Coturnix japonica: one gene and its partners. The protein of the gene in region 2 purifies or fractionates together with the protein of the main gene of each other region. This does not show direct contact. Links are inferred from orthologs where the notes say so. Each region holds a gene or a part of one and is shown on either strand. Other genes may lie near its edges.

Region 1 (3,644 bases), on a different chromosome or scaffold from region 2:
GCTGTTCTGTTAGCTCTCTAAAGCCAAGAAGTTGGCTGATGGTTTTCCAAGTGGTGGCTCTACTCCAAAGAACATAACTTTCTCCTTGACTATCAGCCAGAGCGCTGGATTGGAAGTGGATTGAGTTTTTGCCCTTTTGTCTTTGAAAGTCAGTAGTTTCAGGCTGCTTCTTTGTTGTTGAAGCAGACATAGACAGCAAGTAAGCGATAGATCGCTAAAGCAGTAGAGCACGTGTATTGAATCCACTTGCCTTCAGGACGGATGCAGTTCACTAGGACTGGTAATTATTGCGTTAAGTGCCAAACTGCTCCTTCACCCGGGAGAGGCACATGATTGGCAAACATAGTCCTAAGAGAAGGTTGATAAGCCTGTTTTTCAAGTAATTACTTTTAAAAAATTGGAATAAGCTAAGAAGTTTTGAGTAGTAGTCTGCATCTCTGCCTACAGACAGCTCCTCCTGTAGCAGTTATTCCAGGTGTTCAGCTCACCCTGAGGGTCCTTTTTCTTTGCATGTCAGCATGTGTCTAAGAACAAAGTCAGCCTTTCACACTGGGACACCTGATATACAAAGGGCTGCTTCTCTCCACAGATTGATCAGATGAATGCCGACCTGAATGCTGAGCGCAGCAACGCACAGAAGAATGAGAATGCTCGCCAGCAGATGGAGCGCCAGAACAAGGAGCTTAAGCTTAAGCTGCAGGAGATGGAGAGCGCAGTGAAGTCCAAGTACAAGGCCACCATCACAGCCTTGGAAGCGAAGATAGTGCAGCTGGAAGAGCAGTTAGACATGGAGACCAAGTATGTCCTAGCCAGAACTCTGGTTGTTTTACAAGCACCCGCCCTCTCAGGAATTTTAAGCCCTTCTGAGCAAATTCTACCTTGTCTGTATGAGGGCCTCATCGTAGAGGTACTGGGTGGTGCATCCTTGCTCTCATTGTAGAGTCCTTTTGCTTCAGCCAAACTCAACCAGTCCTAAAGCTGCAGCTGTGATGCGCTGTTGCTGTTCCTCTGTAGCGTCAGGAGAAGTGTCTGTGGTGCCAATACCTTTTAGTAGCTTTTAATCATCTCTAGGAAACCTTGCTTCCCATCCATTTTTTTTCTTTCTTCTTTTATAATAAAAAATTAGTGTGATTTCTGATATCCTCTTTGTTTCTAACTTACCTGTGTCAGGTCTTGATGGGGGGACAGCAGGGGGTAAATTCATATCTGAGCTGTCGCTGTATTTCTGTGCAGGGAGCGCCAGGCTGCCAGCAAGCAAGTGCGCCGTGCTGAGAAGAAGCTGAAAGATATATTGCTGCAGGTGGATGATGAGAGGCGTAATGCTGAGCAATTCAAAGATCAGGTGTGTTTGGTTACCTACAGCATTGTACTGTCTGCTGGTGGGAGGGTTCCTCTCCTATGGTCGAGGCATCCTCTGTATTTAAGAGGAAAAGCTTGGAGCTGCCAAGTCCGAGGCAGCTTCTTTCAGGAAGGGGAGACTTGGGAAACTGTCCTTATTGCCACTGTAACTGCTGTGCTGTAAGCGAGGGAGCGCTGATCTCTTTCCCTGCCCGTTCTCAGGCGGACAAGGCGAACATGCGCTTGAAGCAGCTGAAACGCCAGCTTGAGGAAGCAGAAGAGGAGGCCCAGCGAGCCAACGCGTCCCGCAGGAAACTCCAGCGCGAACTGGACGATGCCACTGAAACAGCTGATGCCATGAATAGAGAGGTCAGCTCCCTCAAGAGCAAACTCAGGTAAGGCAGAGCGTTTTGTGCGGTACCTTGGCACCCGGCACAGCATAGGCTTGCTGTAGCCACCCACAGCAAACAGTCTGTTTCCTTTTTCCCAAGCCTGCCGTGTCTGGTGTGTGGGGTGAATCTGGTGTTACTGATGTGCTGTCTGTCCTTCCCTAGGCGCGGGGACCTGCCCTTTGTTGTCACACGTCGGCTTGTCAGGAAGGGCACAGGAGAGTGCTCCGATGAGGAAGTGGACGGCAAGGCAGAAGCTGGTGATGCCAAAGCTACTGAATAAGTCCTCTCATTTTGCCCAGGTTACACACGATGGAACGACCCATCCACCCTCCCCTTTTCCATTGGACTTTCTGCAAACCCTCTCCTCTTAAATTGGCTGGGGATCTGCAGAGCAAGTCCGGCTCTGTGTATCTGGAGCCATTGGGCATCTGCGTTCCTCGTTTCCTCCTCTTTTCCAGTTTCCTAATCCTCTTTGTATTTAATGCCAAAGAGTTGGGGCTCTGAAATCTGAACGGCAGTTTGGCATCTTCAAAGTCGTGTAGAACTGTCTGTGCCACGTCTGCTGATGAATCCTTACACAATTTGGAGGGAGTGGGGTTAGGGAAAGATTATTTTTGCTGTAAATCTCCTTTTTGTCTTCAGATGCTAGCTGCAGGGAAGCTCCTTCCTGTATTCTTTCCCCTCCCTCTTTGTTTGCTTTCGGCAATCGTGTTCAGTGACCTCAGACTTCTGCCTCTTTTCATCTGCCCACCCACACGGTTTGGGAGCAGTTTCAGGAAAAACGGTGTGCTTTGGCCATGGCAACTCAGCCTTTCTTCTTTCACACGATTCCAGGGAGGGGTGAAGAGGGAAACAACCGTCACCCCAAACCCAAAACCCCCCCGGGACTACCTGGAGGACTTGCCAAAGTTGTCTTTTTTACAAAACAATTTCCTTCCCCTTTCTTTTTTTCTCCCCTTCCCTCCCCCCTCCTCCTCGTTTTTACTGTCTGGACAGATCTCTGAAGTGCAATGATGTCCTGTTAGTGTCTCTGCCTCTGAGCGGTTTCATCTAAGGTAGCGTGGACCAGTAGTTGATGACAGGCTGGGGAAGCAGAATGATGTCCTTGTGCTTGTCTGAGAATCTCTAGGGGACCAAATATATTTAATGGCAATAGAATCTAGGGGAATTTAATAGGGTAGCGGGCAGAGGGTGGGGATGAGGGGAGGGAAATCCCTCTTTTATTGACATGTCCGAGCCTCTTGCACCTGCTCTGTAACCAGGGGTTGGGATTAGTTATTGTGCACCATTGACTAAGAGTATATTAAAAACCCTTTAATCTGCACAGGTATATGTAAGGCCTTTGTATCTCTCGTAATAAGTAATTAAGATAAAAAAATAAAGGTCTTTATCACTGCCTTTCTATTGGGACCATGGTTATATAGAGATAGTCTTTACTTTTCTACACCGTACACTGGTTGCTGGATTTACCTGTATTCTTAACCATATTGTATATGCTGCATTTAGACCTACTTATGAGCAAAGTAAAGATAATTAAGGCTGGAGCACTGTGCTGTCTGCCTGGAGCGCTCTGAGTGCAGGAGCCTCGTGTCCCAATTGCTGTCACAAGGAAATTTTAATTTCTTTTTTTTTTAATTTTTTTTTTTTATATATATATAAATATATATATATAAAATAAAAGTGCCTTAGCATGTGCCTCAGCTGTGTGTCACCACTACAGTCAGTAATGGATTACTGGTGCTCCACTGATGTTACCAATAAAGATTATCCATGTGCTGCAGTCTATGTGCCTGCGTTGCCGTTCCCTCCTTCCCTGGCCACACTGAGGATGGCGTGCACCGCTCCCAAAGCACCACGTGTGTCCTCAGAGCATCGGCCTGGCCCTGGCAGTGGAGCCGCACAGCTCTGATGCTG
Region 2 (3,744 bases):
CTAACCAAAAGGACTTATGGTGCCTGTATAAATCAGCAGCATGTATGTCTGTATTATAGAGATTTCTTAATGTGACTCTTAAGCCTTCTAGGTTATTTAAATTGTGCTCCATGTGCACTTTAACATAGCACAGGAGCTAATAATAGTTTGTTTACACTTCTGTTTTTAAGGAATCTGAAATACAGATGCACTACATTATCACATCTTGTGCATGCTGTACTGTTCATTGTCCAACTGTGAATTTTGTTCCTACTGTTGCTGTAACAAACAACATGATTTTAATCAATTTTGCCATAGGGGCTTTGTCTTTTTTGAAACTGTGTGTGTGTGGGAAGCTGTGCTACTGGGAACTGCTTCAGGAGGATGGATCCGCCGGGTTCCTGCCCTGCTGGGAGCTTCAGGTGCTCGTCAGACTCGGGCAGTTTGCAGGTACCGGCCTGACCGCCACACGAGCCCTGACGTGCCGGGTGGGCGCTGAGGCGTTTCGCCCCGTGCGAGCGGGCCCAGCTGCCGCTTCAATGACAGGAACACCGAGTCCGTGTGCCCCGGAGCTACGCGTCGGAGCGTTCTGCCATTTGTTCGCTTCTTTCTCTCCTATCTCCTTCACAAGCCGCCGGGTATCGCTCCGCTGAGGGTAACGGCGCTGCGCGGGAGCCTCCGGCCCGAGGGGAAGGGAGGGCTTTGCAAGGGCCTCTATACAGGGCCGGGGCCGAAGGGGGAATATCCCAACTGAGGGAGCGCGGGCCCTCCCGAACTCGCCCCGCGGCGGGACGGAGCGCAGCCGCCGCCGCTCGGCCTGTACTCACCAGCCGCACCGGGCCGTCTCGGCGGGGAAGCCGCCCGGCCTCTCCCAGCGCCGCCGGGGCCGCCATCAGCGTCACTGGCGAACCGGGCCGCCACGGCGCTGGGGACTCGCGGCGGCTTCCTCAAGAAGCCGGTATCTGGTTGGTGGGATCCCGGGCGGCTGCCCGTACGCCGCTCGCTGATTGGTGAGGTCGGAGTAGCGCGCGAAGCCGAGCGGGCGCTTTGGCGGCGGGTCGCCCTGAGCAGCGGCGGCTCCTCACGGAGCGGCCACGTCTGACCCCGCCGCAGACGGACGGACGGCGGCCGGCACCTGCGGGAGCCGCTGTGTGTCACGGCCACCGGCCGGATGGAGGCAGCGCGGGAGCACTGAGGTGAGTGTCGCTGCGCAGGAAGCCGCGGGGCAGCGAGGCCGGTAACATGAGGAGAAATCTGAACCGCTGCGCAATATGGGAACGAAATCGGGGGTGACGCGGGGACGGCGCGTGGTGCCGCTGTGCTGAGCCCCGAGCTACCGGCAGAGCCGATACGGTTCGCGTGTGTCGTCATCCCCGTAGGTCGGCGCTCGTACGTCCCGGGTTGAGACGCGCTGCTCCGTGTGAGGATCCTCCTCACAGAAGCGCTGTTCGTCTGGTGATGAATTGCAGGTGCTGAAATTGTTTGTGCTTTGGTGGTAATGAGTTGCTGTAACCCTTCATAGTCGCTTAAAAGGAAATAGTGGCAGGTCTGGGGGATTTTCTGCTGTAGTTTAGACACGATACAGGGAAGGGGATACGTGAGATCGTGGGCTTAGTGCTGCGTGAGCCTCTTGTTAGTTCCTCTTCAGGTTGTTCCACCACCACAGCAAAATGTACCGAATTAGTAAAATGCTTTAAAGAAGAGGTTAAAGATGCATCTTGAACAGAGGTTTGGAGGCTGGATTACTTGGTTCCTGAGGCAGATTCCCCGTGGGTCTCAAGTAAGCTACTAATAAAAGCTACTTTTTCTCTGTGTTCTGAATAGATTTTTAAGATGTAGTCTTAAAATCTATTAGTAGCAGAAAATCACACATTGATTTGTCTAGGCTGCTCTGAGGCGTTTAAGAAAAGATCCAAGTGTCAGGCACCAAGTCTTCTCTTAAAAGTTCTTAAAATACTCAAAACTATTCTTAGATTGTTTTATCACCACAAATGGTCATAGAGAATTCAAGCTATTCCTGGACTAGCGCATAATTTGAAATCGATCCTCTAGTAAAACATGTCTTCCACCCGGGCTTACAGCTGTGCTGGGATTTCGGCTTTTGTCGCCGTGAAGCTGCTCTGGTATCTGTGCAGTAAGTTGTACATTTTAAAGTGTTCACGTGCTTGCGAGGAGGGGGAACAATCTACCTTCCCTGATCTGTAAGTGCATCTCAGCAGCTTCTTTATCAGAAGTATTTTTCCATAACACTTTGATCTCTGCTATTTCTAAAATCTGTTGATGACTTGCCCTTGTAGGGCTGCCCTTTTAAAGTCGGGCAGCTACAGCCTCTTACAGTAGCCGTGGTTCATGTGGCAGCTGTTGGCCATGTCTGGTTGTTCAAGTCCTGTGACAAGTACCTGCTGTCACTGCTGCGATTGTTGTTGAACTTACTGAGAAATTCTAAATCTTCCCTTTGAAGTCAGATGGTGAAACCAGAGACTCGAGGTCGGTGCTAGCGCGAGACTGGAGACATGTTGGAGTCGAGCTGTGGTTGCAGCAGTCTGTCATCCCCGATAAACGACTTGTGCATCCTCACAAACAATGCCTGAAACACGTGGAACATCCTCAGCTCCCAGGGCTCTTTTTCTCCACCCTCTATGGGGAGAGAACCGTCAGTAATTTGCTCGTGGCTGGTCAGTGCTTGTTCTGGGAAACTGGCACGCGATGGTGGGTTGTTTTGTCGTTAGTTTTGTTTTTTTGTTTTTAAAAAAGCCTTTTTCTAGGATTGCGAGTGCGGTTCTGGAAAGCCTGTTTCAGAAATAGCTTTTCTCCCTAGAGCATGAGGAAATATTCTTCATGCACTTGTGTTATTGAGGAATTGAGTATTTTAATTGCAGGCTCTTGGAGCTAAAGGAATTCTAAGAATGCTGTGCAATGAGACCTTGGGGTGACGGCACGTGCGCTCTGGGTCCTGCCCTGCGCACACTGTAAGGCCTGTTTTTCCCCTGCAGAGCTCGGAGCAGCCGGTTGCAGAGCTCCAGCTGTGGATCTCTGCACCCTCCCAGTTCCGAGGATCGCAGCGTTCATGCTCGGGTGCAGTTTCCGTAGCAGTAACGTTCCGAATGTGCTTGTCACTGCGCGGTGCAGGGCGCCCCGCGCTCAGTCCAGCAGAGGCGCACATACAACAGCGCATTACCGGCCCCGCGCAGCCCGGTCCCGGCTGCCGGTGCGAGCTGCGCGTGCGCGCAGGGGGCTGCCCGTCTGCCACGCGGGAGGTGGACGCGCATGCGCCGCAGCGCGGCGGGCGGAGCAGCGAGTTGGTGACAGGGCCGCTCTCGCGAGAGTTGCCGAGGGGACGGTGGCGGCGGCGGAGCGGGCGGAGGGGGAGCCGCGGGACGGGGCTGGAGCTCGGGCGGTGACCGGGGCGGCGCTGGAGGGGCGAGCGGGCGACGGCAAGCCTCGGGAGAGGCGGCGGCCCACAGCGCTGCGCGGTGAGTGCGGGGGAAGCGGGGGGGGGGCGCGTGTGGCGGGCCGGCGCCGGGCCGCCGATCCCCCCGCCCTCGACCCGCTCCGGTGAGCGGCAGGCTCCTCCGGCACAGGCCCGGCTTCCCGGGACGCCGAGCGTCGGCGAAGGGCGGCCCTCTCCGTCGCGGCCTGCGCTCCGCACGGCTCCGCCTCCTCTCCGTGCTCCGCGGTGCCGAGGCTGCGGGCCCGAGTCTGAGCTCGGGCTTCCCGAGGCGCTGCTCGCTGAGGCGCTGGCTGGGCGGCCGAGCGAGCTCCCGT
Region 3 (3,744 bases), on a different chromosome or scaffold from region 2:
CCAGAGTCTATGGAAGAGCTCTTGTGTTACACTGCAGAGCTCCTGGATCCACAAAATGCTGCAGGAGGCCAAGTCTTAATGCACCATCTGCTACTGGAAAACGAAACGGCCTTTCCTGTGCTGTCATCTGATGGCTTGACGGGAGCAGAAAGTCTGTCAGATGAAAAGTGGTGTTCAAATATGCAGCTGAGGAAGGGGGGGGAGGGAAAGGACACAAACAGCTCACTATCAGGAGTGCAGGAAGCCAATTTCTAGGGGAGAGGTAATTGTTTGGTTGGAAATGGCCAGAGGAAACACAGCCCCCTGAAGGGTAAATAGATTTTTTTCTTTATTTGCTGGGCGTTCAGGAAAACTTACGTATTGATGTTGGAGAGAACATACAGGATGTCGAGAGCTTTCAGAGCACAAGGGGAAATGAAATGTGAATCTCTTTAAGTTGGCAGTCACGTGCTTCCCTGGCGCTCTGGAAGCGAGGCAGTTTACATTTGGAGCCCGCTCCTGAAAAGCACCATTTCCAACGAGCCCATAAATCAAAGCCCAATAAAATCAGACGTGACTGTGCAATTCCTGAGCGTCAGCACACGCAGCCTTTGAGTTCAACCTCAAACGGTGCAATAATCCTAATGAGTTATGCCAGAGAGCCCGTGTTTGGAAGGAAAAGCTGACGCAATCGGCGGTGTGGTTTCAGGTACCTGCACGTGGCGCTCCCAAACGCGCTGTGCTAAGCTAAAAACAGGCTCCATTTGGAACTGGGAAGCTGCACCGAGCTGCTCTGTCAATGCATTGGGCCCAATGGGGCTGCCTGCCTGCCAAAGAGGCCCGAGCACCAAAAGGCCCAAACATCTGGCATCCATTTCATTCATCCTACCAAGCTTTTGCAAATATATTTCCTGCGTTGAGTACGTGGTGCTTTTTGCACCTCAGAACTCACACCTCCTTTTGTAGGCCTTAATGATTTTACTGCCTGATACCGCTGTGGATTCCAGCATTCCTCTGCTCCGTGGCTGGGCGCTTCGGTCTATTACATTGCACAGCAGCCATTTCAGAGAGCACGGGTGGGTTTTACTCAGACGTATGGCTGCTTTGCTGGAAGTAAAACCCAACCCAAAGCTCCCTGGTGCAACCTGAGGCCATGGCCTCACCGCATCACCAGCTGCAGCCCCACAGGCTGCATCGCCTTCTGCATTGCCACAGCCTGACAGATGGCAATGCTCCTCAGTGCTGTCTGCCATGAAGGAGGAAATATTCTGCCTTTACTAATCTGACTCCTGCCCTTTAGATATCGATATGCATCAATAGAACCCCTCAGCCTTCGGCCCGGGGCTCTCAGCCTGTCCCTATGGGGACGTGCCTCACACCCCGCTGCAGTTCTCTGTCTGCCTGGAGCTGCGGGCCCAGCACTCTAAAGGCGGCCATCCAGGGCAGGGCAGTGCAGTACGGGGACCCCGCCTGCCGCTCGGTGCAGCGCAGCGCTGTGAGGGCGGAGGAGGCGGTGAATGGCCGCGGGTCGGGGTCGGGATCCGCCGCTTCGTGGCGCTGCGGAGTCGCCGTCCCGTCCCGTCCCGTCCCGGCGCGGTGCGTGCGTGGGGCCGCGGCGGGAGCAGGAAGGAGGAGAAGGGAGGAGGAAGGAGGAGGAAGGAGGCGGCGGCGATCCCTCAGCGCCGGGACAAAGGGCCGCGCAGGTAGTGCGGGCAGGGCTGGGCTGGGCAGGCCGGCCTGGCTGCGGGGCCGCCGAGCCGCTCAGGGCCGGGACCCCCTCCCCGCAGAGCCGCGGCCAACGGCCGTTCCCAGCGCCCCTTTGTTTTGTCAGCCGCGGCCGAGACCCCTCCCCGGGAGGGTTGGCACTTCCCGGCGCCGCAGCCATGAGGGCCGAGGGCCGGTGGCCGTGCTGAGCGGCGGCCCGGAGCGGAGGGCGGCCCGCGGGGCCCCGCCGCCATGGAGCGGCCGAGCGGGGACATCATGCGGCGGAACCCGCAGCAGGACTACGAGCTGATCCAGCGCGTGGGGAGCGGCACCTACGGCGACGTCTACAAGGTAAGGGCGGCCCGAACGGAATCGGCCCCTTCTCCCGGCTCCGGGACGGGCCGGCGGCTCCAGGCCCCGCTCGGGGCGCTGCGGGCGGTGCTGTGCCCGGGGCTGAAGGCGGAGGGTATTTACCTGCTCGGAGAGCGCATCGCTTCGAGCACCTGATTAACACAGCGCGAGTTTATCCCCGGGGTTAATAATAGCCGCGAACCAGGAGCAGATTAAAGCTCTTCGGAAGCTGGAGCTCGCTGCTGGGCTCGCTCTGAAAGCCAACGGGTTCTGCTCAAACAGTTACAGCCACAGCGGTGTGGGCGTCCCACCTTCCTAATGTAGCCTTTCTCAGGCTGCTCAGATCTGGGGGTGCCCCAGGCCATGGAGGGTCCCTGGGCAGGCTGAGCAGAGGGGCAGGCAGCCCATGACAGGGTACCCAGGTGGCCTTTGAGTCCCTTCCAACCCAGCCATTTGCTGATGACACTATGAGCCCGTTCTATTTGTCAGGGATGCCCAGCAACTCTGTAACGTTTTTGGCTTTTGTGTCAGCAGTCCGAATTTCTGAGCTCCGTGGGCAGAATGGCTGTGATGTACTTCATAATGCTGCTGACTGTACGTGGAATAGGCCTGGTGTGATTGAGCTTAGGAGCGGAGGTGCGTGGCTGTGCCACATCAAAGGCTCTGGTAATTGCTGCGTGCTGGGGGAGGGCTGTTTGTTAATGTTCAAATTGGAGTTTTATAGTTGGATCTCATTCTCATCCCCCTTTGAAATGGTTACTCTTGGCCTCAGGGAGTTATTTTTAACTATTTCGTTTTCATGGTAATGGCTATTTACCTTCTTATTTTTTTCCTTAGAGTGCTGTGCACAGATCAGTTGGCTGAGGAGCTATGAGATCTGCTTTAGTAGCTTGTGGTAGCGGTGGTAATGGGAGGATGGTTGGATTAGATGATCTTGTAGGTCCTTTCCAACCTTGTGATTCTATGATTCTGTGACTTTGCTGGGAAATCTGGCCCATAATACTTAAAAGGGGCATCTCAGGTTTCATAAATCTGAAACATAGCGTGGCTTCAGCTGGTTTGTTTGGGTATAGCTGCACAGCGTAGGGCAGCGTGGTGAGAAGGGACTGGCTGTGTCTCAGGGAAGTGTTCTGCATCATCCCTTTGCTCCTCAAAAAGACACGTTCTTCTTCTCATTATGGTGCTAATGAGTGGAGAGCTGTGCTGACATGTCCTGTAGCTTCCAGTTCCGGAGCTGGCTGGATGCAGGGCCCTGCACTGTGCCCTGTAAATAGCATCCCCCCCTTCCCACCAAACCCTCCTCTCTTTGGGTCTTGGTAAGCATCCTTCTGTTCTGCAGGGGTCTCACTGATAAACCCTCTCCTAGTACAACCTGGGAAGTGTAAATCAAAGCCTTGGATGGAGTTTTACACTTCTAAATGAAGTGTGAAGTTAATGAGTCTAAAGTAGTTAGGGAGCCTGCTTGTGTTTCCAGGTCATTGGTGTGCTCTTTGCTTTCATAGAACCTTGCAAATGGGGAGGAACTGTGTCCAGGGAATACTGAATGGGATGGTGTGGGCTGTTATGGCAGATATGCAAAGCCAACTTCATTTTTACAAGCCATTGATGTTGTGTTCATGTTAAAAGTATCTAAGATAAACTTCTTTTCTTGGAAGCAGTTGATGTATAAACATTGTGCTTGGAGTTTTCTGTGTCCGTGGTAGGGCTCTT

The links.
Region 1: the proteins of GRB2 (region 2) and MYH9 purify together in Homo sapiens (affinity purification with mass spectrometry; 3 studies listed by BioGRID and IntAct, with this or other methods). This does not show direct contact. The link is inferred for Coturnix japonica from reciprocal best matches to the Homo sapiens genes GRB2 and MYH9.
Region 3: the proteins of GRB2 (region 2) and MAP4K5 purify together in Homo sapiens (affinity purification with mass spectrometry; 7 studies listed by BioGRID and IntAct, counting the BioPlex papers as one, with this or other methods). This does not show direct contact. The link is inferred for Coturnix japonica from reciprocal best matches to the Homo sapiens genes GRB2 and MAP4K5.

What each region holds. Positions count from the first base shown.
Region 1 is NC_029516.1:47,326,856-47,330,499, forward strand, and holds the end of MYH9 (myosin-9), read left to right. Parts: intron 1-589; coding exon 590-798; intron 799-1,233; coding exon 1,234-1,342; intron 1,343-1,560; coding exon 1,561-1,733; intron 1,734-1,892; coding exon 1,893-2,010; 3' UTR 2,011-3,515; downstream 3,516-3,644. UniProt on the Homo sapiens protein: Cellular myosin that appears to play a role in cytokinesis, cell shape, and specialized functions such as secretion and capping. Required for cortical actin clearance prior to oocyte exocytosis. Promotes cell motility in conjunction with S100A4.
Region 2 is NC_029533.1:9,419,829-9,423,572, reverse strand, and holds the start of GRB2 (growth factor receptor-bound protein 2), read left to right. Parts: upstream 1-1,020; 5' UTR 1,021-1,175; intron 1,176-3,323; exon of another isoform or gene 3,324-3,452; intron 3,453-3,744. UniProt on the Homo sapiens protein: Non-enzymatic adapter protein that plays a pivotal role in precisely regulated signaling cascades from cell surface receptors to cellular responses, including signaling transduction and gene expression.
Region 3 is NC_029520.1:52,486,279-52,490,022, reverse strand, and holds the start of MAP4K5 (mitogen-activated protein kinase kinase kinase kinase 5), read left to right. Parts: upstream 1-1,531; 5' UTR 1,532-1,935; coding exon 1,936-2,034; intron 2,035-3,744. UniProt on the Homo sapiens protein: May play a role in the response to environmental stress. Appears to act upstream of the JUN N-terminal pathway.